7 linked regions of the Oryzias latipes genome follow. The protein of the gene in region 1 purifies or fractionates together with the protein of each later gene. This does not show direct contact. Links are inferred from orthologs where the notes say so. Each region holds a gene or a part of one and is shown in the gene's direction. Other genes may lie near its edges. The genes, in order: sf3b1, u2surp, usp39, snrpd1, snrpa, mcm5 and dnajc8.

The links.
Region 2: the proteins of sf3b1 (region 1) and u2surp purify together in Homo sapiens (affinity purification with mass spectrometry; 4 studies listed by BioGRID and IntAct, with this or other methods). This does not show direct contact. The link is inferred for Oryzias latipes from reciprocal best matches to the Homo sapiens genes SF3B1 and U2SURP.
Region 3: the proteins of sf3b1 (region 1) and usp39 purify together in Homo sapiens (co-immunoprecipitation; 3 studies listed by BioGRID and IntAct, with this or other methods). This does not show direct contact. The link is inferred for Oryzias latipes from reciprocal best matches to the Homo sapiens genes SF3B1 and USP39.
Region 4: the proteins of sf3b1 (region 1) and snrpd1 fractionate together in Homo sapiens (co-fractionation; 5 studies listed by BioGRID and IntAct, with this or other methods). This does not show direct contact. The link is inferred for Oryzias latipes from reciprocal best matches to the Homo sapiens genes SF3B1 and SNRPD1.
Region 5: the proteins of sf3b1 (region 1) and snrpa fractionate together in Homo sapiens (co-fractionation; 4 studies listed by BioGRID and IntAct, with this or other methods). This does not show direct contact. The link is inferred for Oryzias latipes from reciprocal best matches to the Homo sapiens genes SF3B1 and SNRPA.
Region 6: the proteins of sf3b1 (region 1) and mcm5 purify together in Homo sapiens (affinity purification with mass spectrometry; 4 studies listed by BioGRID and IntAct, with this or other methods). This does not show direct contact. The link is inferred for Oryzias latipes from reciprocal best matches to the Homo sapiens genes SF3B1 and MCM5.
Region 7: the proteins of sf3b1 (region 1) and dnajc8 purify together in Homo sapiens (co-immunoprecipitation; 4 studies listed by BioGRID and IntAct, with this or other methods). This does not show direct contact. The link is inferred for Oryzias latipes from reciprocal best matches to the Homo sapiens genes SF3B1 and DNAJC8.

Annotation. Positions count from the first base shown.
Region 1 is NC_019879.2:181,879-186,053, reverse strand, and holds the start of sf3b1 (splicing factor 3B subunit 1), read left to right. Parts: upstream 1-1,375; 5' UTR 1,376-1,473; coding exon 1,474-1,501; intron 1,502-2,544; coding exon 2,545-2,717; intron 2,718-2,842; coding exon 2,843-2,944; intron 2,945-3,027; coding exon 3,028-3,142; intron 3,143-3,258; exon of another isoform or gene 3,259-4,175. Other genes in the region: ankrd44 (serine/threonine-protein phosphatase 6 regulatory ankyrin repeat subunit B), read right to left, coding at 512-538. UniProt on the Homo sapiens protein: Component of the 17S U2 SnRNP complex of the spliceosome, a large ribonucleoprotein complex that removes introns from transcribed pre-mRNAs.
Region 2 is NC_019878.2:19,058,137-19,062,425, forward strand, and holds the start of u2surp (U2 snRNP-associated SURP motif-containing protein), read left to right. Parts: upstream 1-1,489; 5' UTR 1,490-1,508; coding exon 1,509-1,580; intron 1,581-2,308; coding exon 2,309-2,407; intron 2,408-2,504; coding exon 2,505-2,619; intron 2,620-2,906; coding exon 2,907-3,031; intron 3,032-3,124; coding exon 3,125-3,195; intron 3,196-3,301; coding exon 3,302-3,390; intron 3,391-3,534; coding exon 3,535-3,570; intron 3,571-3,680; coding exon 3,681-3,763; intron 3,764-3,882; coding exon 3,883-4,048; intron 4,049-4,132; coding exon 4,133-4,289.
Region 3 is NC_019867.2:12,332,727-12,337,025, forward strand, and holds the start of usp39 (U4/U6.U5 tri-snRNP-associated protein 2), read left to right. Parts: upstream 1-1,499; 5' UTR 1,500-1,614; coding exon 1,615-1,672; intron 1,673-1,983; coding exon 1,984-2,062; intron 2,063-2,138; coding exon 2,139-2,233; intron 2,234-2,320; coding exon 2,321-2,457; intron 2,458-2,988; coding exon 2,989-3,141; intron 3,142-3,226; coding exon 3,227-3,452; intron 3,453-4,047; coding exon 4,048-4,122; intron 4,123-4,297; coding exon 4,298-4,299. Other genes in the region: c9h2orf68 (UPF0561 protein C2orf68 homolog), read right to left, coding at 1-73, 153-268, 1,067-1,176.
Region 4 is NC_019869.2:22,965,507-22,969,438, reverse strand, and holds snrpd1 (small nuclear ribonucleoprotein Sm D1), read left to right. Parts: upstream 1-1,132; 5' UTR 1,133-1,264; coding exon 1,265-1,278; intron 1,279-2,682; coding exon 2,683-2,759; intron 2,760-2,834; coding exon 2,835-3,026; intron 3,027-3,232; coding exon 3,233-3,309; 3' UTR 3,310-3,881; downstream 3,882-3,932. UniProt on the Homo sapiens protein: Plays a role in pre-mRNA splicing as a core component of the spliceosomal U1, U2, U4 and U5 small nuclear ribonucleoproteins (snRNPs), the building blocks of the spliceosome.
Region 5 is NC_019871.2:13,958,484-13,962,527, forward strand, and holds snrpa (U1 small nuclear ribonucleoprotein A), read left to right. Parts: upstream 1-1,249; 5' UTR 1,250-1,331; intron 1,332-1,578; 5' UTR 1,579-1,586; coding exon 1,587-1,659; intron 1,660-1,774; coding exon 1,775-1,947; intron 1,948-2,293; coding exon 2,294-2,458; intron 2,459-2,703; coding exon 2,704-2,862; intron 2,863-2,959; coding exon 2,960-3,048; intron 3,049-3,138; coding exon 3,139-3,298; 3' UTR 3,299-3,309; intron 3,310-3,394; 3' UTR 3,395-3,544; downstream 3,545-4,044. Other genes in the region: c13h19orf54 (UPF0692 protein C19orf54 homolog), read right to left, coding at 1-125. UniProt on the Homo sapiens protein: Component of the spliceosomal U1 snRNP, which is essential for recognition of the pre-mRNA 5' splice-site and the subsequent assembly of the spliceosome. U1 snRNP is the first snRNP to interact with pre-mRNA.
Region 6 is NC_019866.2:21,038,135-21,042,196, forward strand, and holds the start of mcm5 (DNA replication licensing factor MCM5), read left to right. Parts: upstream 1-1,262; 5' UTR 1,263-1,416; coding exon 1,417-1,589; intron 1,590-1,764; coding exon 1,765-1,891; intron 1,892-1,972; coding exon 1,973-2,101; intron 2,102-2,175; coding exon 2,176-2,348; intron 2,349-2,423; coding exon 2,424-2,579; intron 2,580-2,655; coding exon 2,656-2,825; intron 2,826-2,911; coding exon 2,912-3,083; intron 3,084-3,173; coding exon 3,174-3,285; intron 3,286-3,359; coding exon 3,360-3,503; intron 3,504-3,570; coding exon 3,571-3,636; intron 3,637-3,705; coding exon 3,706-3,882; intron 3,883-3,963; coding exon 3,964-4,062. UniProt on the Homo sapiens protein: Acts as a component of the MCM2-7 complex (MCM complex) which is the replicative helicase essential for 'once per cell cycle' DNA replication initiation and elongation in eukaryotic cells.
Region 7 is NC_019869.2:6,659,773-6,663,879, forward strand, and holds the start of dnajc8 (dnaJ homolog subfamily C member 8), read left to right. Parts: upstream 1-1,307; 5' UTR 1,308-1,361; coding exon 1,362-1,430; intron 1,431-1,826; coding exon 1,827-1,928; intron 1,929-2,502; coding exon 2,503-2,559; intron 2,560-2,640; coding exon 2,641-2,707; intron 2,708-2,783; coding exon 2,784-2,878; intron 2,879-2,948; coding exon 2,949-3,020; intron 3,021-3,112; coding exon 3,113-3,204; intron 3,205-3,285; coding exon 3,286-3,361; intron 3,362-4,107. UniProt on the Homo sapiens protein: Suppresses polyglutamine (polyQ) aggregation of ATXN3 in neuronal cells.

The DNA of each region.
Region 1 (4,175 bases):
TCCTGAAGAACTGTGACGTCATCAGGTACCCCAGCAGAGCACCTTCATGTGCCACTGAGCTTTTCTGAGGACAGCTGCCGTCTTTGATCCAACACCTGGATGCAGGTGAGGGGAGGAGCCAGGATGTCACCTGCAGCATTCCTCACATTTCAGACCTGCTGTCAGTAACATCTGCGGTTATCAGTAGTGATGATGACACAAACACTGAAGTGAGACACTGGAGGTTTTCCTCTATTTCTGCTTCTGCCTGTTTCCCCCGCAGTTCTGGTTCTGGTTCTGGTTTAGTTCTAGCCCACAGACCCGTTTTTATCAGATGAATCAATGAAGAAAAGGTTCCGCTTGAAATGAGCGGTGAAAACCTTCCGAGCTGAACTTTTTTCTGCGGAAGTTCTTCTTCTCCGTCTGCGCCGCGGTCCGTCCCCTCAGAGGCGGAACCGAGCTCCGCTTTGACCCGGGCGGGATGCTGAGCGGCGCCTCGGAGGCTAAGCTAACGGTGGCTAGCGCACCCTACCTGATCGGCCAGCTTGAGGACCGCCATCTCTGGGTCAGCCGCTGCGACCTGCACGGAGCGATGCTGCGCGGCAAGCGTCCGCCTGGACCGGGGCTGCAGCGGCGTCTACGAGGCTCGTGGGTAACCGGTGCTTGCTGTTGTGAGGAAGGCCGTGCCGGGCTCCACGGCCATCAGCCCTGCTCCACGGACGCTATCCGCGGCGCCGCTAGAACGCGGCGGCCGCGCAGAGTCAAAGGGAGGCGGGACAGGTCTGAGCCGCCGCCGCAAACAACCCGCATCTACGGCTGCCGCTGGTCGGAGATGCCGCGCGGCTCTGGGAGCTTTACGGAGCACGCGGAAGCCTCCGTCCGCCCTGGGTGCAGTGAAGGGATCTGGGGAGACAGCGGGCTGAAGGCAGAGCGCACAGGAAGTGGCAGCGTCCGCCTGTCAGATTCAGAAGTGGAGCTTCCTCAGCAGCATCACCGGCCGCGCGGGTTGCCGCTCGCTGCCGCCCCTAGCGGCCACGCGCGGGGCGCCGCTCGCTGCTGCCCCTAGCGGCCACGCGCGGGGCGCCGCTCGCGGCTGCCCCTAGCGGCCACGCGTGATGAGCCGCTGAGGGGGCAGTGAGCGTAAACATGAATAAAGTTAAGTTAAAAAATTATATACAATAATAGAGAAAAATACATACTTATAATCATTATTCAACAAGGTGAATAATGATAATTATAATACTTATTATTATTGTTGCTGTTTTTTATAGGCTGTTTGCACAGTGGGTTGAGAGGAAAGAAATTTCATCTGTGCTGTAGATCTTGTAAAATTCAGTACATTTAAAAATAAAGCTGACTTAATATAATAATAATAATAATAATAATAATAATAATAATAATAATAATAATAACGTTTCTCTGTCGTGCTGGCTAAAAGAGGCGGAAGAAGAGGTGACGCACTTCCGGTGTCAGTCTCGAACAACCACCGTCAAGATGGCGAAGATCGCCAAAACACACGAAGGTAAAATATCACGAAAACCTGTGAATACGTTGTGTGTGGCCCTCTCTTCAGCTCTTTTGCTTTTTTAAATAATGTATGCGTTTTGTGGTGTCAAATGTTTTTTGAAGTTGTGCTTTGTGGCCGACAAAAACATAAAAAACGAGGCGGCCTGTGACGACGCAACGCGGACATTTTACATAATGGCGCCGGTTGCTAGCAAGCGAGCTGAAGCCTCACACAGCACCTTTGCTACCGTGAAATAGTTCACGTTACTGCGCTAAGCCGTTGAGTTCTGTGTATATTGGTATTTTATTTGTTAGTTTGTTATCTGCAGTTGTTTGGTTTTCTTTGTCCTGTAGATTAGCATATTTAACGCGAACACGCAGCGTGACCAACTTCGCCGTGCTATTTGCACAAAATGTTTTTGCAGTGCAAATGAACGATTTTGCAGTGCAAAACGGTTTTGTGTGAATCTTTGTGGTTCTTCTGTGGCAAAGAACCGATCATCCTATCGAAACCAGTCTGCGGTGTTTTGGGTGCAAACCTGGCCGTTTAGTTCACGAAGAACCGCGGGATGAATGTCAGCAACGTGCGTTTGTAACAAAAGCCCAATCTTTCGTTTAACGTGTGATCAGCAATGGGCGCGTGCTGGAGCGATCAGGCTCAGCTTTTGGTGTGTAAACAAAAGACCAGGCTGGAGCTGCTGTTCAGGATTGATTCATCATTAAGCGAGAAAACTGTTCAGGAGCGCGCTTGTTGCATGAAATTACATTTACAAATTTAGCCGATTTCAATTAAAAAGTCAATCAAAAAACTCAAAAGTCCCCCCCCCCCGTTTATTATGCGACTTAAGATCATTTTTCTACAGCTTTGCTATTTGTAACTAATGAAGTTGACTAAAAAAAGTGTCATTAATTGTTGACATTGAAGCTTTCCATAACTTGTTGTGGTTTTTTATTTTTACGAAAAACCCACATGGCCACAAATCCAGTTTTAACAATAAAATATTGTTGAAAAATGTAATGTATATTCATTCCCACATGTATTTTTACTTGGGTGCTTAGATATTGAGGCGCAGATCCTGGAGATCCAGGGGATGAAGGCCTCCCTGAAAGAGGATGCAGGTCAGGGAGTGGGCCTGGACTCCACTGGCTTTTACGACCAGGAGATCTATGGAGGCAGCGACGGTCGTTTTGTGGGATATGTCACTTCCATTGCAGCCAATGAGCAGGAAGATGTAAGTAAAGATGTTTTACCTGCAGTTTTCAGTCTGCTCCCACCGTGCTTGTCTTGTGTGAGCTAGGAGAGTCTTGCCGCTTTGGCGAGATTTGACTAGACTCTTGTTTCTCTTTCTGTCTTTAGGATGATGAAGATGACACATCGACAAGTTTGTTGGGACAGAAGAAGCCAGGCTACCATGCACCAGTGGCAATGCTCAACTCCATTCCCCAGTCAGATGAACATGTATGTGTTCCTTAACATGACAGGAGGTGCACCTTCTTTCCAGGACTTTGGATCAGAGCCTCATTTCTGTCTCCATTTTGCAGTACGACCCATTCGCAGAGCATCGCGCGCCGAAAATCGCAGATCGGGAAGATGAATACAAAGCTCGTCGCAGACAGATGATCATTTCGCCTGAGCGCCTTGACCCCTTTGCAGACGGTAAATGTCACCCTTTTTTATCCTGCCTCGATGCCTCAGTTTCACTTCTTTGTTCTGTTTCTGTGTTTTTCGTGGTTCTTATGACTCTTCCAAGAAAGCCAGTGGCTTCATCCAGGTAGATTTTCTGTTCAACCCTTCGACCACAGTGTAGTAGACTGAAACCTTCCTTTGTTAAACCCACTGTCAGTGTAAGAGGGTTTGAACAGGCATGGGTCGAAGGGTTAACAACCCCACAGTGGACAGCATGTGAGGGTAAACGGCGTGCACGGGGGCGCAGTCGACCACCCTCCTGAGTCTGAACCCTCAACGGGGCATTTGCTCAGCAGCACCTTCTTACTTTTGTAAGACGTGCTTTGAGAAAACATTGCTTTAAATTTGCCCCTTTAAAGTCTGACTTGCCCCGTTTCCGGACATCCAGGTGTCCTGTGGTAATTCAGGCGTTCAAGCTGGACAAGCAGAGTCTGTTCTGAACTGCTCCAGCTTTCAGGGTGAGCTTCTGCAGCGCCCGTGAATGCTGCTGTAAGCCGCTCACGGTAACGCCTCGCTGCCGCCGACCGGCCCGGGGCCGTCAGGTGTGCTTAGGCCGCGTCAAACCTGCATGTGAAGGCAGTTCTTTGTTCAAAGTTGTTTTGCAAATATATACTTTTATTTTACAAGTCTGTAAAATAGAAAAATGTGATCAAGAAACGTTGTGTACACCAATACCACAGGCCCATACTAACTGTCCTTAATTTCTCTCCTACAGCAGTACTGCTTTGCCAGTCCTGTACTGCACTCTGTTAAGGGTGCAGCAACTCATCCTGTGTAGGTTATGGGGGACACTGTGCACTTGTCAGTTTGGTCAGGGTCCACGGGCTGCTTGTTTGGGGGGCTGTGAGGGGAATCAGCGCAGCTACAGCAAACCTCCACCCCCAGCAGCCTCTTTGATTTGGTTCTTCAGAGACCAAGCATTTATTTAAAGCCTTTGACTACATGTCTTCATGTTGATGTTGAAAAAGAAGTCAAAGACCTGAGAGTACAGACTGAGCAGTGC
Region 2 (4,289 bases), on another chromosome or scaffold:
GCAGCTGGCGGTCCGAAGAACAAAGCTTGTCCGCGGTGCGTCAGGAGGAGGACCGCAGAAGGCGGACATGCAGCTACTTAGTCCTGAGAAGCTGTGGAAACTCATCAGAAGTTCACAACCATCACAAAACCCTCGTCTCTGCCGCTAACACAGTCTGCTCCTGGTGCGCGTGTGTGCGTCAGTCAGCGGCCGGACACACGGAGAAAGCAGTGACGTCATCGCCCCGCCTCCCCTCTGCTAATGCTTTTTCGAATTGAATATTGTGACAACTTGCGCGGGGTGGATGTTAAAATGCAAATGCAATCCCCTCTTTGCATTTTCGTTTGAATTATGACACAGAATGAGCGGTTTTAGGTATAAAATGAAAAAGCATTTTGAAATATTGCTTTTTCTTTTTAATTTTGAGTCAAAAAATGCAGCTTCATTTTGAAAATTAAAAAGCATTTCTGTTAATCCATTTTAATTGTCAAATGAGACATTTCTAAATGATTTTTGGTACACATTTACCAGGGACCTTTTTGAAAATGAAATGTCAAATACCATTTTATTTATCATTTTAATTAAGTGACAGAATAAGCTGTATTGAGGAAGGAAATGAAAAAGCATTTTGAAATATTGCTTTTTCTTTTTAATTTTGAGTCAAAAAATGCAGCTTCATTTTGAAAATTAAAAAGCATTTCTATTAATCCATTTTAATGGTCAAATTAGACATTTCTAAATGAATTATGCTACACATTTACCATGGAACTGTTTGAAAATGAAATGTCAAATACCATTTTAATTTTAATTTTAATTAAGTGACAGAATAAGCTGTGTTGAGGAAGGAAATGAAAAAGCATTTTGGTGGATTGCTTTTTTATTATATTTTTGAGTCAAAAAATGCAGCTTCATTTTGAAAATGAAAAAGCATTTCTTGTTTTGACTTTGCTTTTTATTTATGCTACATAATCGCTTCCATAGGCGTGAGGAATACGGAAGTGAGCGTCACTCCGCTCATGACGTATGAAAAAAATATTACATTAATTCTTTTTATTTCTAACACATAACTGTATTTAAAATTAAATGTTTTTTTTCACAAGTCTAACATATTTTTCTATTACATTAGAAAAAATGTACTGCCTAGCAAGTGGGTTATTATTTTGCAAATTTAAAACACTTTTTTAAAAACACATTTATACCGTTCACATTTGGAATTGTTGATTTAGTTGAACTTTTATGGACTTTTTGCAAAATGTGTAATCTTTTTTGCTCTTTTTTCAGGTCCTGTCACACATTTAGACAACCTTTGGGGTCGGTTTTTGGATTTTTGTGATGTGCTTTTTTTCCCCATTAAATAACATTAAAGCTTTTAAGGTCTTTTTTTCTACATGTTCTTTAATGATTAAACATTCCTCGACATTTTGAAACATCTTAAAGATGTTTCAAAATGTCAAAAACAAAAAACAGTGACTCGGTGATCGATTATACGCCCTGAAGTTTCTGCTTTATACACACATATCATTGATTCGATGATCGATTTTATTTTAGTTCCACAAAAGATGGCGGACCGAACGCCTGGCTCTCAAAAAGCTAGCGCTAAGGTGACATTTTCACTTTGTTTTTGTACCCATTTAGAAGTGTCTGTCACAGTAAAAATGATTTAAATGAGAGAGTACTTTGATTAAAACATATAGTAACAGAGCGTGACTCCAAGAAAGATAAGTTTCAGACGTACCGCCGCGCAAACGTGCAGCAGCCTTACTGACTTCATTGAGCTAAGCTAAGCTAACAAACTAGCCACTTTTAGCTAGACTCGGTTAGCTGTTGACAAGAGAATAAACATAGTTAGTACAGTAACTAATGTAAATATAGTAAATATAACAGTTTAGGTTACAAACTTTTGGCTTAAACATCTAAACGGTGTAATGTTTTGTCTTTTTAGCGCTGATTGTACGTCAACGGTAGCTTGCGGGAGCAGCTACTTGCCGCGTAGATCATATATTCAGTCGCGCTCCAGTCCACACACATTCTTCGGGCCTCTCAGAAATGTCGTTTTTAAATCCACTAAATAGTCACTTCAAACTGAAATGTTGAACTGAGCAAAACTAAGGTTAAATTCTTAAATGCCCATATTTGAAACGGAGCTGTCTGTTTAAACTTAAGTTTACCTGCTTTATTATTTTGACATTTAAAAAAAGTGTAACCAAAATAGAACACATTGACTGTTTGGTATTATTTGGATGCTCTTATGCCATAAAATCTTTTGTATTAGTGGTTAGAAAATGCAAATTGAAAGCCAACTTTTTTTTTTCTTTGACATGATGTGCAGGCGCTGCTTGAGAGCAAACTGAAATCTTTTAGCATTGGCAAGATGGCAGTAGCAAAAAGGACCTTAAGCAAAAAGGAACAAGATGAACTAAAGAAAAAGGCAAGCATTATTCTCATTTCATGCTCTAATAAAATGTTATATGAGAAGTGAATCTGTTTAGAAATTTTCCTTTAAAATGTCTTATTTTTCAACTCAGGAGGATGAGCGGGCAGCAGCAGAGATTTATGAGGAATTTCTTGCTGCATTCGAAGGTGGAGGAGAGGGGAAAGTTAAGGCATTTGTCCGTGGTGGTATCGCAAATGCAACAAAAGGTACAGTTTTTGATCATCACTGTGGAGAGTAAAACACACTTGTTAGTGTTTAAACATTTATTTTATGCTTATTACAACGTTTGTTGCAAACAAATACAAACTTGTAAATTTTTGTTTTATTTTACTAGTAATTTTCTTAAAATGTGTCTTGTACTTTACCATATAAATCACTTTATTTGTTTAATTGACAGTTGTCGTCATATTTCTGGTACAGTATTCATATATATATATTCTTATGTATATTCTAATAGATTGAGTTGGATCTTTTTTTTTCAATATCTTTCTAGAAGAAGCAGCCGCTGATGAGAAAAAAGGAAAGTTATACAAGCCCAAGTCCCGTTTTGACGCCCAAACAAAAAGCATCTTGCCTTTGGAGACCCCACCCCAATTTTTAGCATTTGACAGAAAACAAGTAGGTTTTACTAAAGTCAGTCATGTGCGTTTTTAATTGTTGTATCCCCCTTTGCTTCTGTTTTCTCATAGTATGTATTTATTTGAATTTTAGACTGTTAAGAAAAATACCGAAAAGGAAAAGAAGAAGAGTAACCTGGAACTCTTCAAGGAAGAACTTAAACAGTATGTTTCAATATGAACATTTTGGGATTGTTCAAAAGATATTGTTTTGATTGTCTGGCCTTAGATAATCGTACTTAAAAACTAACACTGTTTGCATTCATGGCAGGATTCAAGAGGAAAGGGATGAAAGACACAAGTTGAAAGGCCGTGTTAGTCGTTTTGAGCCCCTCGCTGGCATGGAGGGAAGACGTTCATGTGAGTCTTTTTGCGCTCTGTTCAAGTCTTTGGCGTACTAACTTGGTCTGAAAGGCCCTGTCCCGCACGCTTGACCTCACCTGCTACCCCTTTATCCACTCTCACCCAGAAACAAAATTTACACTGCTTTTCTGCTTCTTTTAGCGGATGGTTCTTCAAGAAGAAACCGTCCGTCCAGTGGTAATTTTGATTTAATATAAAGGCCGTGAATATGTGCAGCTTGCTCAGAAAGTCAGATTTGTGCCGTCGGACAGCAACAGGACATTCTTTTCTCTCCTTTGTGTCTGCAGTTTTGGATGACTGTGCACCAGGTTCCCACGATGTAGGAGACCCATCCACAACGAACCTGTATCTTGGAAACATCAACCCACAGGTAGGTCATCCAGATAACAGAGAGGGGACCCTTTGCTTATTTAAAAACAAGTTTTTGTCATGAAAATCTTCCAGCAAATGAAGAGTAAATTTCTCTTTTTTGACTATTCTGTTTTTTAGATGAATGAAGAAATGTTGTGTCAAGAGTTTGGTCGCTACGGCCCTCTGGCCAGTGTGAAGATCATGTGGCCACGGACAGATGAGGAGAGAGCTCGGGAGCGGAACTGTGGCTTTGTGGCTTTTATGAACAGGAGGGATGCTGAGCGAGCACTCAAACACCTCAATGGTACATCAGGGTGCTAATGAACTAACTTTTGAATTGAGTTGTGTTTAAAGTTTTTCTAATCCTTTATTTCTTCTCAATTTACAGGAAAGATGATCATGAACTTTGAGATGAAATTAGGATGGGGCAAAGGTGTTCCCATTCCACCCCATCCCATCTACATCCCTCCCTCTATGATGGAGCACACTCTACCGCCGCCTCCCTCCGGCCTTCCCTTCAATGCACAGCCCCGAGAGAGGCTAAA
Region 3 (4,299 bases), on another chromosome or scaffold:
GTTTCAGTGTCTGTGCCCGACCCACTCTCATTCCACTCGTCAGCATCAGCGGCGGTTCCTGGCTCTGAACTATCTGGAAAGAACCAAAACAGAAACGCAAAAGTGTTACATTTCCTCTAAAAGCAGCAAAGTAAGAAATATGTCAGTCTTACGTCTCCGTCGAGGATGGTACACCTGGATGTCAGGTCGCCGAGGCTTTTTGGGGGTTGTGGTGCGCCTGTGCCGCTGAAGCTCTTTGGCTTGCTTCACTTCTTTATCATAGTCATCTCTTATAAAGAAATTGAAATATTTTCTGATTATTTCTTAAAAACATAGCAAGTTGCACAGTTGAATAAAACACAGAGCATCTTGGTCATGGCCATGAACTTAAAAATGTTCCTAGGTCTGTTTACACATTGGAGGATAATACTTTTTTTAAAATTTTATTATTTTAAGGCAAAACAGCTTTGTTTTTCATACATCAAAGCAATTTAAAGAGCCGCACAACAAAGCAACATTATTATTGCTGTTCTTTTAGCTTTATAGTTCATCTTTCAAAGTTGCCTAAATAAAATCAACATGTTAAAAATCCGTTTTAAATGATTAAATAAAGAGTGAGAGTGTGGGAATTAAAACAAACTTTTTTGTTTGGACGTAAATCAAAATACTTATCATACATTATTGTAGCAGCTTTTTTTAAGACCAGACAGAGAGCAGATGCTGTAAAACAGCCCAACTCAGCGTATGTAATTTATCAAGGAGGAACTTTAAAAGTTTTACACACCAAACCTAAGTTTATATAATAATCCACTTTTAAATAATAAATTACACTAATAAAACATAAACCGAATAACTTAATGCTCCTTTTAAAATTTCAGTCAGTCCAATAGGGTTTTGCTTCTACTGCTTTAAAGTAAAAATAAACTTGACTTTAAGCCTTTTAGGTACTTTAAAAAAATGTTATTTCACTGTCTGCCATTTTTAAAAAAATCATTTCACATCAATCATGAAATGACAGCAGCTACAGATTGACATTTGACATCCCAAGTAAGTATGCTAACTCGGCTAACAGCAAAAAGGAAATCACCTGGCAATCTGGTTCCTCCGAATATGATGAAGGAAACCGTGGCTCATGTCCAGACGGCCCCCCGGTTTGTACTTCAGCTCATGCACTCCTTCATCTCTTATAAGATCCATTTCAGCAAACACTCTAGAAAGAAAACACAGCTAAAGAAGAACAAGCAAAATACTAACAAAAAGCTAGACAGCTAACGATGTATAAATGGATGTCCAACCGTAGCGTTCCCGGAGTTTCTACAAATTAATTTATTGCGTGTAAGTCCTACAATGCACATTGAACTAAAATATAAACTATTTTGGTTATATTTCTGTGACAAAAAAAGAAACTGAAGTATACAAATAAATAAAATATATTACTTAGAGTTTACATGGGGGTAAACATTTATTTTTTAAACTCCGGGTTACGTTTTGGTTTCCCACGCCATTACCACCGACGTACAACCACCGCGAGTTTCGAGGAGCTGAATAATATCCATTCATTTCCTCTCGTAAACCTTCAAGTTTTGTTAATTTTTGTTTCGTTAGCAAACCGTTTGCTAACTTATAGTTACAAGAATGTCTTTAAAGCGTGAAAGGGAGGAAATAGAAGACGACGAGGATAACGAAGACGAAGGTATGCTGATTTGTCTCTTACGTCCGTTTTTCGTTTTGTTAGCCAGCCAGAAGAGCATTTTCTAGCATAAAAAGTTTATATTGTGTCAGTTCCATTCTACACCAATAAACTGATGGTTTCACATGTAAGACAAAGACAATCAGCATATAAAAATATATGTAAAACCTGTTTATTTTAAAACAGAGATCGATTAATAGAAAAATCTTAGCTTGCTAGCAAGCATGTTTTGATTGCTAGTAGTTAGTTGTTCTCGTAAAAATGAATTCCGTTTACGTCTACTGAGCTTTATCGTGATTTGCTCTCTTTTGCAGTGACAGTCAAATTTAGGCGAGGACGTGTGGTTGAAGACCGAAGAAGCCGCCATTGTCCTTACCTGGACACCATAAACAGGCAAGGAAATGTTTGAAAATGTATGCTAAAGCTAGTTAGCATTCTTCTTGTAATTCAGTTTCTTCTCGTCTTGCAGGAGTGTTCTGGATTTTGACTTTGAGAAGCTCTGCTCCATTTCTCTGTCTCACATTAATGTTTATGCCTGTCTTATTTGTGGGAAATACTTTCAAGGTAGACATATTAGCACATCAAACGCACATTGTTATTTTCCTTTTTAGATGACACTAAACATCTTTACGTTTGCATTCCTTGTTGCAGGCAGAGGTCAGAAGTCTCATGCCTACACTCACAGTGTCCAGTTTTCTCACCATGTGTTCCTCAACTTGCACACACTCAAGTTTTACTGTCTGCCAGACAACTATGAGATCATTGACTCATCGCTAGAAGACATCACAGTAAGTAATGCAGTAAATCTGCTGTTTTTCAATGTATAAATGAAAAGGTAATTGCTCTGGGGGGAAAAGTAAACAGTTACATGTTAAAATTAAACAAAGTTTTTTGTTTTTCTTCTAGATATGATTGATAGATTCTTTTGCTCACATTCCTTGTTTGTCAGTGTAACACTTCAATAGTTTTCATTAACATATTCTGTGTTTAAAAATAGTTTTAACTTGTGAACCCAGAGTACATAAAAATGTGTTCGATATTTATATATTTTATACAAGGCCAATGTATTTGATTGCATAGTATATTTTATTTACTATATTTTGCACATAAGTATCAGTACTAGTATCTAAAAATAAGTTATTTAGCAATGTCTTAAAGTATACTTTTTAGAGTTTTGGCTGTAATTTTAATACGTCTTTTTTTTTTACATTTCTTTTTTAAATTTTTAATGTTTTATGTTAAGTAATTTTTACCCCTCCTTTTTTTATTTTTTGTAAGCTCTTGCTTTGTGTTGGTAATCTTGCTCTTTTTTTCTTTAGTATGTGCTGAAGCCGACTTTCACCAAGCAGCACATTGAGGGTCTGGACAAACATGGTAAACTGTACAGAGCCTACGATGGTACAACCTACCTGCCAGGGATTGTAGGGCTTAATAACATTAAAGCCAACGACTATGCCAATGCTGTACTACAGGTATGAAACCCCGCTGATGTTGATTTTTGAGGCTGTGGCATCAACTTAAATAACAGGGGGTTTCATATTGTACTTTTGTTTTTAGGCTTTTTCCAACGTCCCACCTTTGCGAAACTACTTCCTTGAGGAGGAGAACTACAGAGACATCCGGAGGCCACCAGGGGACATCATGTTTCTGCTGGTGCAGCGGTTTGGGGAGCTGATGCGCAAACTTTGGAATCCGAGAAACTTCAAGGCCCACGTGTCGCCCCACGAGATGCTGCAGGCTGTAGTCCTGTGCAGCAAGAAAAACTTCCAAATCACCAAACAAGGTAACTATTTTGTGGCCTGTGGAGTGCTGACATAAATAGGGCCATGTAGGCTGAGATTTTGGGCAAAAACCTCATTCCATCAATGAGAGCACTAAAGATGAAACATGGCTGGATCTTCCAACATGACTGATCCCAAAAACATAACTCTGGCATCAAAGAGAATCTGTGGAGGGAGTTTAAAGTATGTTTCTCAGCAAAAGCCTCAAAACATTACAGCTCTGCATGGAAGAATGGTCCAGAATAATAGCTATAGTGTTTGTAAACCTGCTTAAGACCTATGTTTGACCTTTGTCATAGATAATCATGGTTACATTACAAACTATTGAGGTGAACTTTTGTTGTTGACCAAATTCTTATTTTCTGCACTATTATACAAATACATTCTCTAAAAATCTGACAATGTGATTTCCTGGATAATTTATTGGACATTTTATCTCTCAGTTGAAGTATATCTATGGTAAACATTACAGACCAAACTCAGCTTTTTGAGCGGGACAACTTGCAGAGTCAGTGGCTGCCAAATACTTTTTTGCCCCACAATCTTTAACTCACTGGATAAGTTTGTAGAGTTTGCTCAATGTTTTCTGGTTTGCAGGTGATGCTGTGGACTTCATGACATGGTTCCTAAACGCCATGCATGGCGCTCTTGGAGGCACAAAGAAGAAGCCATGTGAGTCAGAAATTCACTCCTAGTTTATAGTAAATCTGTTGAATTTCTGAATTCATTTATTTGATGTGTAATTTTCTCTTTTATTCCAATGTAAGGAGTCTATTTTAGAGCCAGTGCTGGTTGTCTGCATGCAATGTCCTTCAATTTAACTGGTCTGCTCTTTGTTTTCACACAGCA
Region 4 (3,932 bases), on another chromosome or scaffold:
TTTTCAGCATTTTCACGTTTGGACTGATGGTGAATGTTGTGGTGGCATTTGTTCTCCACACTGTTTGATTAAATCCTCCCTCCACAAATACCTTCTTTTTTCTTTTTTTTTAAATACAACAATTTGCACTTTCTTTAGGTTTCACTTGATACATTCCCAGCTTGTCTCAATAAATAAAAAGTATTGCTGTTTGGCCAAAACTCTAAATGAAATATCAATGCAAAGTTTACTCTCAATAAAAAGATCTGAAAGTTTGCTCCTTTGTTCTTTTTGTCTTCTTTCCTAGATCAATGGTTCCCAGCTTTTTGTGTATTTTGTAAGGATGTAAAGGATACAGTTACGTATTGAAAATTGATCAAGTACTGGAAGTAACAGCTCTATCAATCGATAACCTTAAATACGAGCAAGTTGGTGAAAAGGTAAAAAAATGAAATCAATCAGGAAGTAAATCGTTATTTTTTTTTCTTTTCTGTCTTTACTGTCTTTGCCTTTTTATGTACATGTGATGCCAACATGAAGACACCCAATCACAAAGCCTACTTCTACCAAATCGGGTCAATTATGATTGGCTGAATGTGAACCACAGTGTGCTGTGTTCTCTTTTTTCACGGTACTGCAAACAATGCCTGAATAAATTCCTATGACAATTTTTTGATCATAAATAAAAACAGAACAGTATTCGTAGTTGAAGCAGTTCTCTCAGAGATGTTTTGTTTTTGTTGCTTCAAAAAAAGGGCCAATAAGAACAAAATTTAAGAAAAAAGTTTCTCTGTTAAATGGCATTTCCATTAATAATTTTAAATGCCAAATACATAAATAGAAATCTATGAATAAATGACTGGTACTTTATTTTTTAGCACCATACAATGGCATCAGGGTGCCAAAGGGCTTACATTAACATAACATTTAAAATTGAGTAGATTGAGAGGGGAAAAAAACAGCATTAGATGGAAAAAACAATAAAACACATAGAAAAACAGTTAATAATTAAAGTAATTGGTAAGTAATTAAATAAAGACAGTAAAGGAATATTAGATGCCACCAACCCAATGAGTAAGAGAAAACAACTCATTTTTGTCTTTCCACTGACTGTTCTTCATCTCACCACCAGGCGGCGGTAAGACAACATTGACGGTGAGCGGTGGCCTCTTTCTGACGTCATATCAACGCGACACAAACGTTGGTGGTACATCAGCGGCCTGTGATTTCACTCGATCGCTGTAATTTTTCTCGTCGGTGGAGGATCTTTTCTCTACTGTTCGTCATGAAACTAGTCAGGTAATTTGCTGCATGGTCTGTAGATGTGTCGACTGGTTTAAGATAGGATGATGAAATAAAGGCTGTGTGGCCGGATGGGTTCAGATAGACAAATGAACTGTGTGGAGAGGCGGGAACAAGGCTGCTGGGTTTTCATTCAAAAAATACATATAAACATATCATTAGAGCTAACTATTTAATCAAGGATTAAACTGCTTGTTTTAGCAATATTTGTAAAAGATCGAGGCTGATTCGTTATCATTTATGGTTTTGCAAATTTCCCCCCGCATTATTAAAACTATCGTACTAAAGGAGGTTAATTTATTAGATGTTGTTTCCGTTTCCTCAAAGTGCTTTATCATTATTTAATTGTATTTATTTTTGGATGTTTTTAATTTCCACAACTTAAGAGACAAATGTTTTGTTTTCAGTTTACACAACAGTATCAATCCACCGAAGCTAACAAGCTAAGAGCTAACACGAGTTTTGTTTAGATACTAAAAAAAAAATACATTCAAAAAGGGGGGGGGGGGTATTTTGTACAATTTTATACGTTAAATCTTATGTGTTGTACAAAAATGCTGTCTAATGTTTGTGAGAGAGAGACGTCTTCTTTGTGCAAAGCAGTAAGTTGGCTAATTGATCATTCAAGATGGATCTAGTCATTAAAGTCTTCTACAGCAATGGTGCCAACCTTCTAATAAAGCGGTTTTTTATTGTATTTAATTTATCAAAATATTTTTATGATTAACAGAAAACGTTACCAACAATTATTTCTAACAAAAAGTCCGCATAAATGTTCATACAAAACATTAAAAAATGTGAATCTGAAAATGGAGTTTAAAGTCTTCCATTTTATCCAGTATGTATGGGATCAAATGCAGTTTTTGTATGAAATGGTGCATATCACAGTATGTTTATTTCCCTCGTTTTTTTTATGTTTGACATTTTGTTTATTTCATTTGTATTTTGTGAATATGAACAGACATAAAAATGATGCTTTTAATTTGTTAAAGTCCACCAATCAATTATTGATTAACATTTTCCTGTTCTAGTTCTGCTTAAAGGTCAGCATGTTATTAGTGTATTTTTTTTCATGGTATTGTCACTTTAAAACATTGACGTTTAAATGAAAGTGCCTTTTGGATTCAGAAAACCAAAATGAATGTGCCAATTCTAGGTTTTTGAAAAATACACTTTTGAGTAAGAATAAAACACGTGAACCTTTTTTGTTTCATGTGGGATGACAATAAATCATGTTTTTTTTTTTTTTGCGAAAATGATTCTTTCCCTGAAGTGTAGATACATTATACTGGTACTGCTTTTTGATTACAAAATGGTATGTTTGGTAAAGTATAGTGCAGTAAAACAACTCTTAAAGGTTAAGTAAATGTAAATGTATGCTACTCTCCCGTGTCCACACAGGTTTTTGATGAAGCTCAGTCATGAGACCGTTACCATTGAACTGAAGAATGGCACTCAGGTCCATGGCACCATCACAGGTGAGAGCAAACACTTTAGAGACGAATAAATGAACTAAATCATTTTTAAAATCCTCTTCTTCTTCTTTTTAATAGGTGTTGATGTAAGCATGAACACACACTTGAAGGCGGTGAAAATGACCCTAAAGAACAGGGAACCCACTCAGCTGGAGTCCCTGAGTATCCGAGGCAACAACATTCGCTACTTCATCCTGCCAGACAGTCTTCCACTGGACACCTTGCTGGTCGACATTGAACCAAAGATCAAGTCCAAGAAGAGAGAAGCAGGTGGGAGATTTGGGCACATTCTTACCTGGAAAATTGTATTAAGTTGAGAAGGATTTTTCTGCGATAAGAAATCCCTCAACAGTATTTATATTCATCATGGGTGTGTAAATCTGCTGTTTATTTCTTTGAGAAATGTTTTGTTCTGCTGATTAAAACTTTTTTTTTTCACGAGTATGGTGAAAGAATCTGGCCTTTCTTGTTCTCAGTTGCTGGTAGGGGGCGAGGCAGAGGACGGGGCCGTGGCAGAGGAAGAGGACGAGGGCGAGGTGGACCACGGAGATGATTTCAGAGCCCCAACTGTTTGTACAGCTTTTAATTGTACTGCGCGGTGGACGCAAAGTGAATCTAAGTGTAAGTTTAGGGTTGTTTTTCTTTTTTATACTCGTGGGTTGTTTAAGACCGCGAGGGGGTTTTGGATGCTGTTGATTCATAATTTGTACCATCTTGAATAAAATGTCTGAGCAGCATTTAAACTGGGTAAAAATGTCATCTGTTTTTTGCTTTTTTTATACCTTCTTGTGTCTTTGGCAAAGTTGGCTGAAAATGTAGCTGTTCTACTGGCATCAAAGAAGAATAAATCTTTTTTTTTCTCTTTGTAATATTTGGCTCTTTAATTGGCTTGATTAGTTTTCACTTTTCCTATAAGTGATTGAAATAGGTTGATAAGGTTTTTTTTCACAGTTTCTGGAACTGATTACATCTCAACTTATTGTTGATGATGTTCCAGATACTGCTGATCCACCTCTGGTGGATGGTGTGGATGTTGATGACTGCAAATGTAAAAACCTTTTGTCCAATACTTAGATGGGCTGGCTCTTAACCCACATAAGTTTCCAATAAAATAAAGAAAATCCACTTTGAATTTTGACATCATTGTAAAAACTTATGTTTGTTATTGAAGATCTC
Region 5 (4,044 bases), on another chromosome or scaffold:
CTGCTGTTATTTGCTATGATCTGGTACAGTTTCTTCGGTGGTGCTGAAGTTGGTGGAGGAGGAGGCGGACAAGCAGCCAGTGGAGGAGGTGGAGGAGGTGATGACAAGCTGCAGTCCACCGGCATAGTCTCAAAATCTTTCTACTCTGTCTGATCAAAACCAGCTCTGTTGGGGGGAAAAATGTACCTCCATTGATTTCTTTAATAACCACCAGGGAGAAAGTTAAGTACCATTAAAGTCTAACATGGGGCTCAATAACTGCTTACCTTTCACTTCGAGTCGTTTGCACACAATCTAAAAAGCTCGATGTTTACCTAAACATGTCAACCTTTGGACGAAAAAGATTTGACATATTCTTGCACGTGGTAAACAAACTTTTCGATTTAACTAGCTAACAAGCTAGTAGCTAACGCAGCTCCGTGCTCATATTTGGACATACTCGCTCTTCTTCGTGTGTGCGATCGCTCTGTACTCAACTGTTACACCACCCTCCAGTGAGTGATGATGATCATTCCATCACTAGTCATCTACAGTTTAACACACCATTTACACACATACCGTACAATGTATTTGGAAATAAAGTTGAAGGCACAAAGTTAGTGACAAGTCAATCCACAGTCAGTGTGTAACAGGACAAGCGAAGTTTTTTTCGCTTGTGTCTCTGGGTTTTTTTCTTTTTCTTTTACAGATTTTTGACATTTTCTTTTAATCTTTCCTGTCAAGATACGATACCACACTGATAGGACGATTAAAATATCTTGCTAACGCAAATACTGAAACAAATTTCGTTTTTGACCATTGACTGAAAAGGACCGCAAATACACTGGCTTTATTTCTATTTTTTATTCTTGTTTTATTTATGTATTTATTTTTACTGTTACTGTATTGTTACTTAGTTTTTCCCTCTGTGATTGCTTTAATTGTATATTATTGAACAAGATTCGTTTTAACAATCGATATTGCTTATAATTTTGTTCTTAATAGTTTTCACAAGGTTAGAGTGAGGTGGAGGACGATGATTCGCTGTGGCGACCCCTGATGGGAAAAGCCGAAAGAGAAAGAAGAAGTTTTTTACAAGGTTAAAAAGATTTTTTTATTTATTCAGAACGTAATTGTATTCTTTATATTTTACTGTTATAAATGTTGCATTTTTGTATTATATTCTGCAAATGTTCAATAAAAAAGAGAAGGACCGGAAATCACGTGCAAGTTGGATTTATCGCGAGCAGATGATACGGAAATTGTAAAGGCAGGTTTTTCATTCACCCATCGAAGTGAGCGTTCCTTTCGCGCCGAGCGGTGGTGGGTTTTTTGTTAAAACTGATACTCAGGTGCGGTTATCCGGTGTTTTTTCTCTTTTATAAAACCAAATGTCATAAGGTTACAGATAGTTCGATTAAATTAATCATTTATTGCTGATTTGTCTCAGTTTATACCGAGTTTTAAGCTTTATGCTAGTAATGCCTGCATGCATTCAGGGTTGTTTGCTAGCGCTAGCTGTTAGCCTGCTAACTAGTTGATAGCATTCAATTCATTTTATGTGACATGCTTTGTTCTTTTCCAAACAACTCTTCGTAGATTTTAAGATGACCACTCCAGAAGTACGACCCAATCACACCATATATATCAACAACTTGAACGAAAAAATTAAGAAAGATGGTAAGTTTTTTAACTTCTGGCCTTTCTTTGCTTTTTTGGTCGAAAGAACGATGTGGTGATAAATGATGTTAATTCAGATCCACCACAGCTTTTTATTTTCCTCTGTCTTTATTAGAACTGAAGAAGTCACTGTACGCCATCTTCTCGCAATTCGGTCAAATTTTGGACATCCTCGTCGCACGAACCCTGAAGATGAAGGGTCAGGCCTTTGTTATCTTCAAAGAGATCAACAGCGCCTCAAATGCACTGAGGTCCATGCAGGGGTTCCCTTTCTATGATAAACCCATGGTAAGTTAAACGTTGTTTTAATTTCCTCCATGGTTTTAAATTTACAAATATCGTCCTGTAAAATGTTAAAACTCAAATCAATCTTAGTTTTCAATATTCCTCTCTGCTGTCATGTGTTGTATAGTTTGTGAAATGTTTCAATTCCACAGTGTGCATCAAATGAAGGATTGATCTTTGTAAACTTAGAAGTGCTCAGTGTGAGAGGATCACTGAACACTTAACACTGAACACTTTTTAATGGTTATTAAAAATACATTTAAATAACTAGTAGGTATAATGGATTTTTTCTTTTTTTTAAGCACACTTGGTATAGTAATGCCACATATTTAAACGTGTCTTACTGCAGCGCATTCAGTATTCCAAAACAGACTCGGACATCATAGCAAAAATGAAAGGAACCTATGTGGAACGTGAGCGCAAAAAGGAGAAGAGGAAGCCCAAGCCTGAAGGAACAGGAGCTAAGAAAGCTGCTGCTGCAGCCATGATGGCTGGTGTGCCTACTGCTATGCCTGTAAGTGGGAACGTTTACTGTGACCAGAATGACATGGCAGCTCTTACTCGGACAAGTTAAAAGTGGAAAAATACTGTCTGCAAACTTGCTAAGTTTACCATAGCGATAGGTTGTTTGGAGATTTTAAGCTAAAATAACAGCAATTGATGGAGAAAAAGTTTGGTTTAAAAACCCCACAGAACATAATATCAACCTAGCAAACATTTAGAGGACCATGAACATGTTTACAATGTGTCATTCTCTAGGGAATGCCTCCTATGAGCCAAGCTCCCCGTATGATGCATATTCCAGGCCAGCCGGCCTACATGCCTCCTCCAGGCATGATGCCTCCCCCAGGAATGGCGCCTGGCCAGATCCCCCCAGGTGCAATGGGTCAGATGATGCCTGGCCAAATGCCTCAGCAGGTAATGATTTTTGTCCCCCTGTTCTTTACATGTTTAACCAAAGATGAACATTCCAGGTTTTGTTTCTTTTTTGTCAAACATTTGCCTTCTCTTACAGGTTGCAGAAAATCCACCGAATCACATCCTCTTCCTCACCAACCTGCCAGAGGAGACGAACGAGCTGATGCTCTCCATGCTCTTTAACCAGTCAGTATTGACTTGATAATTGTTTTATGCTTTGACTTTCTTTTCTGCCCAACATATCAAAGACTGACCGTGACCGTTTTCTGCGTTTAGGTTCCCTGGCTTTAAAGAGGTGCGTCTGGTCCCTGGTCGCCATGACATCGCCTTTGTGGAGTTTGATAATGAGGTTCAGGCTGGAGCTGCACGAGATTCACTACAGGGATTCAAAATCACACAGACTCATGCAATGAAGATCTCATTTGCCAAGAAATAATGCCAACACAGGTTGAAATTTGTAATTTGTTTTTTTCCTTTTTAAGTGGTGGAAGTAAAAGGCGTTTTTTTAATAAAATATTTGTTTTTTTCCCAGATTACATGTAAGTATGCTTTTTCTAAGTCACTTTGACATGACTTTAGTTTTAAAAAGTTTGAAAGCATTGCACCCAGTGTCTGACTTGTCAGACATTGTACCTGGAGCTTGGTATTTGTTGTTTTGTATTAAAGTAATTAGATTACTTGATTGATTTTCATTATTTCTTGTTTATGGATTTTTTTTTGGTCATCTAAAACTTGTATTTACTCCATCCTTCTCAGACTGGCACCTACACAGCTTCCTGCAAGGGGTGTAACAATTAATCAATGTATCGATTTATCCAACCGGATCTGAGGCAAGTTCGTAATTAACCTATAGCATTATAAAATCCTTTCAAAATAATATGAATGAATGATAATCGATCTCGGAAAATACTAGTTGAACTGAGACATGATCGTGTTTTTTTTTGTTTTTTTTTACCATAACTATTAGTAATGAATTGTTGTTTACTTGTTTTGTACACATTTATTTACACTAAATTATCTTGCAAGAAATCCAAGTAATCTGGTAAACGTCACTTTCACTGCACAGCACCCTGGTATTTATTATGAGATGCATGGAGTTGTCCTGGATTGATTTTAGGTCATAGGATCATTCAAAGTACACATATCTACTATGAATCTTGTCGGCAACCACAAACTGAGCCG
Region 6 (4,062 bases), on another chromosome or scaffold:
TTCTTACAAAGCCGTTCCTTCATTACCCGGGCAGTGTGTTTGGGATTGGTAAATGGTAAATGGCGTATACTTATATAGCCCTTTTCTACCTTCTTCAAGGCCCAAAGCGCTTTACAGTCACAGACCCATTCACCCAGTCACACACGCATTCACACACTGGTGGCGGCTCTGCTGCTGAAAACTGGCACCAACCTCCCACCAAAGGCAAGGTGGGATTCAGTGTCTTGCCCAAGGTCACTTTGACTGACCATACATGGCCCCATTCATTCTTTCCTTTACACAAATCTGTCGTCCTGGTCCCTTTGCTGAAAAGCAGCCCCAAACATCATGTTTCCACCCCCATGCTTTAGAGTAGGTATGGTGTTCTTTGGATGCAACTCTGCATTCTTTCTCCTCCGAACCGACGAGTAGAGTTCTATCAAAAAGTTCTATTTTGGTTTCATCTGAACATAGGACATTCTCCCAATCCTCTTCTGGATCATCCAAATGCTCTCTAGCAAACTTTGGATGGGCCTGCACATGTACTGGCTTTATCAGAGGGACACGTCTGGCACTGCAGGGTTTGAGTCCCTGGCGTTGTAGTGTGTTTTTGATGGTAGCCTTTGTTACTTTGGCCCCAGCTCTCTGCAGGTCATTCACCAGGTCCCTCATGTGGTTCTGGGATTTTTGCTCACGGGGGAGCCCACGGGGGAGATCTTCTGGGGAGTCATAGATGTCATTTTGTCTCTCATAGTTGATGTATACCTATGATGAAAATTACAGGCCTCTCTCATCTCCAGTGGGAGAACTTGCACAAGGCTGACTAAATACTTTTTTGCCCCACTGAACATATTCAGATCTTATTTTGAAGCAGAACAAAGACAAAAGAGGTGCTAGAAGGCTGAAGCGTCATCCATCAGCAGCTGTAATGTTTTCCTATTAGGTTAACACATTTCACATTTAAGTTGCCTTATCATTGATAAAAATGTAACTTTATGTGGAAAAAGTTGCTTTAATTAACTCAAAATAAACTGTGCTTGCATGGGTTTCACTGTCTCACTTCAAATTCTACATCTAGGAGAAAATGTGTCATTAGGTTTCTCTAAGCTCGTGGCCCTTCTTTGTTATTTTGCTTTTCTGCTGTCGCCATGCTTCAGAAGCTCCTCCTCTTCTGTTTTTCGCGCCATCGCGACTCAGCGCCCCGCCTTCAGCTGAAGAGTTCGCCCATATCTACATGTTCGACAAATAAAGAAAAGCTATGTTTGAACCTGACCAATCAGAGTCTAGGAAAGGGGCGGAACTAGCAGAGAACCCGCGGGAAACAGAAAGGAAGACGCTTCAGTTTTTCCCGCGAAACGTCGTCACAAAGTCGGGTCCTTCCTGTCTGTTTGGCTCCAGAAAAGCACAACTTTTGGTGTCAGCTTCAGCCGCTTCAGCATGTCTGGCTTTGACGACCCCGGCGTTTACTACAGCGACAGCTTCGGCGGGGGAGAGGGACCCGGCGGGGACGAAGGTGGACAGAAGCGGGTCCAGATCAAGAAGCGGTTCCGAGAGTTCCTGCGTCAGTTCAGAGAGGGAACTGACCAAACCGGGTTCACTTACAAATACAGGTCAGGCTCCTTATGAACTCAAAGCGGTTCTCAAATCTGCATCTACTTTCAAAGTAAACGATAAGTGAAGTGGTGCTATATCACGAGGCAGTTGCATTATGGGAAATGTAGTTATATGATTAAAACATCTGCTTTAGAAGCTCAAAAGTCCTGATTGTCTCCTGTTGTTCCGCAGAGATGAGCTGAAGCGACATTACACTTTGGGGGAGTTCTGGTTGGAGGTGGAGGTGGAGGATCTTGCCAGCTTTGATGAAGATCTGTCTGACTGCCTTTACAAACTTCCTACTGAGAACCTGCCGTTGGTGAGTATCCTAGTTCACATTTTTATGCGGTCATGAAAGTCTGACTCACGACTAATGTATAGATAAAACGTATCTCTTAAGCTGGAGGAAGCAGCTAAGGAGGTGGCCGATGAGGTGACCCGACCCCGACCTGTGGGGGAGGAGGCGGTGCAGGACATCCAGGTCATGTTGAAGAGCGATGCCCACCACACATCCATCCGGAACCTGAAGGTACCTTAGGACCCTGCTGTGCCCGACGTTGCAGTCATTCCACACATGGATCACCTTTCTGTGTGTCTTTCCAGTCGGAGCAAGTGTCCCGTCTGGTGAAGGTCCACGGCATCATCATTTCTGCCACAGCAGTCAAGGCGAAGGCCACCAAGGTGTGCCTGCAGTGCCGCGGTTGCCGCAGCGTCATCCCCAACATCCCCCTGCCTCCGGGCCTGCAGGGTTACGCTCTGCCCAGAAAATGCAACAGGTGAGGAATCGCATTCCGGTCTCAGGTTGACCCTGCTAGACGACTCAGCCTCAAAACGACCTTCTGTGTTTTCAGCGAGAATGCTGGCAGAGTGAAGTGTCCCATGGATCCATACTTCATCATCCCGGACCGCTGCGTGTGCGTGGACTTCCAGACGCTCCGCCTGCAGGAGTCTCCCGATGCTGTGCCGCACGGAGAGATGCCGCGCCACCTGCAGCTCTACTGCGACAGGTAGCCATGGAGATCACCGGAGTCTGCTGCTCCGTTGCTTTTGCGGCACGCCACTGAGGTTTTCCTCCGTCCCCAGGTACCTGTGTGACCGCGTGGTCCCGGGCAACCGAGTGACCATCATGGGCATCTACTCTATCAAAAAAATGGCTGCTGTAAAGGCCAAAGGCAAAGAAAAGGGTATCGGCGTGGGAATTCGTTCATCTTACCTGCGAGTCGTTGGCATCCAGGTGGACACGGAAGGAGCAGGTAAAGATCCCGATGACAGGGTTGGTTGTGAGAAGCACATTGTTAGGTTTGGGGGGTCATTTTATCTTCTTGTTTCTTGGCTGCAGGCCGCGGCGCCACCGGACCCGTCTCTGCACAGGAGGAAGAAGAGCTGAGAGCGTTGTCTACCTCTCCCAACATCTACAGCTCCCTGGCGCAGTCCCTCGCTCCCTCCATCTATGGCAGCGACGATCTGAAGAAGGCCATCACCTGTCTGCTGTTTGGAGGCTCGAGAAAGAGGTACGGCGATAGAACGGTTTATTTCTTCATTTTTGTTGCTGCTGCAACGATGTTGTTTTGAAGCTAAGAGTCTGTTCTTGTGTCTGTTAGGTTACCTGACGGTCTCACGCGCAGAGGAGACATCAACCTGCTGATGCTTGGAGACCCTGGAACAGCCAAATCCCAGCTGCTTAAGTTTGTGGAGAGATGCTCACCGATCGGGGTATTTGTTTGTGTTTTTTTTTTTTTTTAATTATCCGGAGGGAAAAAAGTTCTGATGCTGACTCTCACTTGCAGGTTTATACATCAGGTAAGGGCAGCAGTGCAGCTGGGCTGACCGCCTCCGTGCTGAGAGACCCCAGCACTCGTGGATTCATCATGGAGGGAGGGGCTATGGTGCTGGCGGATGGTGGTGTCGTTTGCATTGATGAGTTTGATAAGGTAGGTCCAGGGTGAGCTGGGGGGCAGCATCGGGGTTGCTCGTCCTTCAGGCTGTTTTTCTCCTCAGATGAGAGAAGACGACAGAGTGGCGATCCACGAGGCCATGGAGCAGCAGACCATCTCCATCGCTAAGGTAACCGCCTTAAGTTTGACCTCCTTATTGGGCTTCATTGGAAAAATGCTAATAGTCTGCGGCCTTTAGGCTGGAATCACCACCACCCTGAACTCCCGCTGCTCCGTGCTGGCGGCGGCCAACTCTGTGTATGGCCGCTGGGACGACACCAAAGGCGAGGACAACATCGACTTCATGCCCACCATCCTGTCCCGCTTCGACATGATCTTCATCATCAAGGACCACCACGACCAGCAGCGAGACATGGTGAGAGGACGCGACGGGAGGTTTGATGCTTCAATTCTCTTTAGTGCTTCCGCTGACTTTGCCGCCTGACTCTGCTCGCAGACGCTGGCTCGCCACGTGATGAACGTCCACCTGAGTGCGCAGACGCAGACGGAAGGAGTCGAGGGCGAGATTCCTCTCGCCACCTTTAAGAAATACATC
Region 7 (4,107 bases), on another chromosome or scaffold:
CCTCTCGTCACCAGGCAGTAAAGGAGCTGCCCGCATCCATGTGAATGAGTTTACAGATTCGGAAGAGACTTTTTGGTAAGACTGTTCATTATCACATGATTTAGGAAATATGAGCATGTTTGTTAACAAAGTCCTCTCTTATAATCTATAAGTAGTTGAGTCAAAAGGGGGCCTAACCTGAAAGCAGTACAGCAAACCGTAGTGGTCATGCTTTTAGTTTGAAAATCCTGCTGATGATGCCTGGATGCATTTTGAACAAAGTGTTGGGTTGTTTCTGTCTTGTTTGGCTCTTCTGTAGTTCAGGGTCTTAAAATGGATCTCCACCAGGTACCCTTGTAGGATTTCACACCTCACCTGAGCTCGGCGGCCTCCTGTCCAGATCACAGGTGAGAAAAACAGTGTTTTACTCATTCATTTTTTTTTCCTACCCTTTAATCCCTTTCGGGGTCACGGGGCTGCCGGAGCCTATCCCGGCCACTTGTGGGCGAAGGCGGGGGACACCCTGGACAGTTCGCCAGTCTGTCGCAGGGCCACAAACCACACACCCATTCACTCTCACACTCACACCCAGGGACGATTTAGAGTTGCCAATTGACATATGAAGCATGTTTTCGGACAGTGGGAGGACGCTGGAGAGAACGCACGCATGCACAGGGAGAACATGAAAACTCCACACAGAAAGGTCCCCCATTGGTGTTCTGGTTCAGACCCCCCAGCCGGAAAAAAGAAAACACTTTTTACTAGCTGGTTATTATCACTATACATTTGGGTTTTTCTGCCCGTCTGTCACCTGTAAACGGGTGATCTGTGGACTAATTGTTCTCATGTGATTACTATAACAAATGTGTAATTTAAAACATGTTTTTTTTTTTTTTACATTGTCATCAGAATAAATAAGTGCAAACAAAAAACTGGCGTTTGTGTGTTTTATGTTATTAAAACTGACCTAAAGAATACATCTTTACAGGAGGTATAACAATACATTAATTTTAAAGGTAAATTAGGTTCACGTTTTTTAAATCCTTCAACTATGGTCTGTAAAGCGCAGTTAGGAGCGTTCGACTTGATTATAATTGGTTTAAAATTGATTTCAGTTGAGTCATTTATTTTGAAATTTCCTGCTTTAATTTGTAGTATTAAAACGGGATTTATCGTTGAGAACTGTATCAAATAAGAACTCAAGCAAACTGAAGGTTTTTGGATTATCATAAATACTCCGTTATAGGTCCATCGATCCGTCTCCTTACATTGTCAATGTGTGTAAATAGTTTGTTTGGTATTTTTCTGCGCAAAGTCCCATTTAAAGAAAGCGAGGCTGTGTGGCGGTCACGTGACAGTACGTCACAGTAGCCGGGCTTAAAATGGCGGCGGCCGAAGGAGAGTCCTCTCACAGTGTGTCAGATGAATTATTTCAGAACTTTTACACGGAGGTATGACGGAATCCTGGTTCACGCGTGTTTTCCGAGCCCTCCGGGTGGACCGGAACAGCCCGCTGTCGTTTGCTAGTCCGCGGGTTTCTCCAGCGCCACAAACGAGGCCTCGCGGGCTGCAGCAGGCAGCAGCTAGCTGCAGGAAGCTAACCGTTTACTCTCATTTTCTGGAAACTTCTGCAGATTATCCAGACTTTTTCTGTTCACAAATGTATTTCCACAGGATTTATTTTTTTGTGCTGCAGTTTTTCAAACACGCCTCTTTCGCGGCTCTGCCTTTAGTTCCCGCGCAGATCAGAAATCCAGAGATTCATTCATTAAAAAGCGGCGTGTTGTGGGTAGTAAACAACGCGGTGATCTTTGTCTGTGGCTCAGTGGAGTTGTGTATCTTAACAGGTGAAACAGATAGAGAAGAGAGACTCTGTGTTGACCTCAAAGCAGCAGATTGACAGACTCCTCAGACCCGGATCCTCCTACTTCAACCTCAACCCCTTTGAGGTAAACAGCGCGCGCGCTTTTGTTGTTTTATTTATATCCAAATAAGCATCCACTCCGGTCAAAGGCGGATGGGGGACCTAAACAGTGAAATAGCTTTCATTAGAAGCAAGAAAAAAACAAATAATGTTTGTTTTAAAATTAAATTAACATTTGAAATGGAAAAATAAGTATGAACATGATCTTGTTTATGTTTGCATCAATAGCAAAGCTTTTATTGTGTAAAATAATTATGGGATTTGACTTTTTTTTTTTTGCGCAGTTAGAGCTTTGATATTTCATTTATATATAATATATAATAAATAAAGTTACAGATTCAGTCCAGTAAGATTTCTGACTCTTAATAGAATTACTAAGATAAGATATACAGGAGTTCAGTAAATAAACACAGTTGGATTCATTTTGAAACCACAAAAGTCTAATAATGTGGATTCATCTTGTCCCAAGTGTGTTTTTAAATAAAAAGATCTACAGATGTTTTTGTTTTTTAAGAAATGTTAATAGTTTTTTCAAGTCAATGCCATTAAGTGTTTTTATGCGTTTGGATCCTTGTGTTAAAGGTTTGTTTTGCTTTCAGGTTTTACAGATTGATCCAGAGGCAACAGACGATGAACTAAAGAAGAGATTCAGAGCAGTAAGGAAACGATTCCTATGTTTGAATTTCCCTTAAAACATTTATTTCTTATTTTAAATCTTTGTCTGTTCAATTCTGCAGTTGTCCATATTAGTCCATCCTGACAAAAATCAGGATGATCCTGACAGATCGCAGAAAGCTTTTGAAGGTAAAACTCTTATCATTTAACTTTTTTTTTTGTGCCTAAAAAGCAGCAAAATATTTAACCTGAGGTTGTTTTCCAGCTGTGGACAAAGCTTACAAGCTCCTACTCGATCCAGAACAGAAGAAAAGAGCTTTAGATGTGATCGAGGCCGGAAAAGAATATGTGGAACATAATGTGAGTTCTTCTGTTTGTGAGGAATTCAACTGAAAAATCCCGGTTCGTGACCGTTTCTGTCCTCAAACAGGTAAAGGAGAAGAAGAAGCAGCTGAAGAAAGACGGGAAATGTCAAGATGTGGAGGAGGACGACCCGGAAATGGTAACGACAATTCCTTTAAATGTTGGGAAAAAGGTTTGTTGGAATCACACACGTTGCACTGAGTGATGGGTATTTTTTTTCCCTCTCACCAGTTTAAACAGGCAGTGTACAAACAGACAATGAAGTTGTTTGCAGAGCTGGAGATCAAGAGGAAGGAGAGGGAAGCGAAGGACATGCATGAGCGGTAAACGCATCACGGCTCTCAGAGCAGACCTTTGTGTCCGTTTGGCGTCTCGTCTGTAACGCGGCGGACTCTCCTCACCAGGAAACGAGCTCGAGAGGAAGAGATCGAGGCGGCGGAGAAGGCGAAGCGGGACAGAGAATGGCAGAAAAACTTTGAGGTTTGTGTGCTTCCCTGCATCTGGAACATGTCATTTCTAACGTCAAAAACAATCCTGTGAACTGAAAATGACTCCAGAGGATCAACCGAGAGGAAAAATGTCACGAGACGCTAGAAAAAGCAAGAGAGAAGCATTTTTATGAGGAAGTTTTTTAATTCTGAAGTGTTGAACAAAGCTTTGACTTGTAGGATAGCACGGCTCATCGGCGCCCCCTGCAGTCACAGTCTAAAATCCTCCTCATCAGTGTTTTCCCAACCTTCAGGTTTAATGTCAGACAATATATTTGGCCTTAGTTGGTGTTTAATTCTAAAGTTGTTGATTTGTAGATGTTTGGTTTTTTTAATTAGTAAAAAAATAAAAAATCTAATAAAGGCGATATAAATGTTTTTTTTTTGTTTTAACAATGGAAACTCTATTCAGGCTCAGATACTTTCAGGGGGAAAGATGAATCTTTTTGATTATTAAATCCTGATTCCTCGTATTTTCTGTACTGTTCTGTACTTTAAAGTGCGGCCTAGTTTAGCTTTGCTGTAGGGAAAATCTTTAACATTCTTTTTTTTAATCAGAAACTTTTCGTCATTCTTTGTCAAGTATTTGCCTCTGTTTTCTTTGGATTTTCTATGGGATCCGTTAAAATCATGTTGATTTTCCTCCAAGTGAAAGCTAACAATCAGACGCCAACTTCAGCCTCGTGCAACGGATAAATACTACAAAATAAAGTTACATAGTCAAAAAAGTAGCTTTTT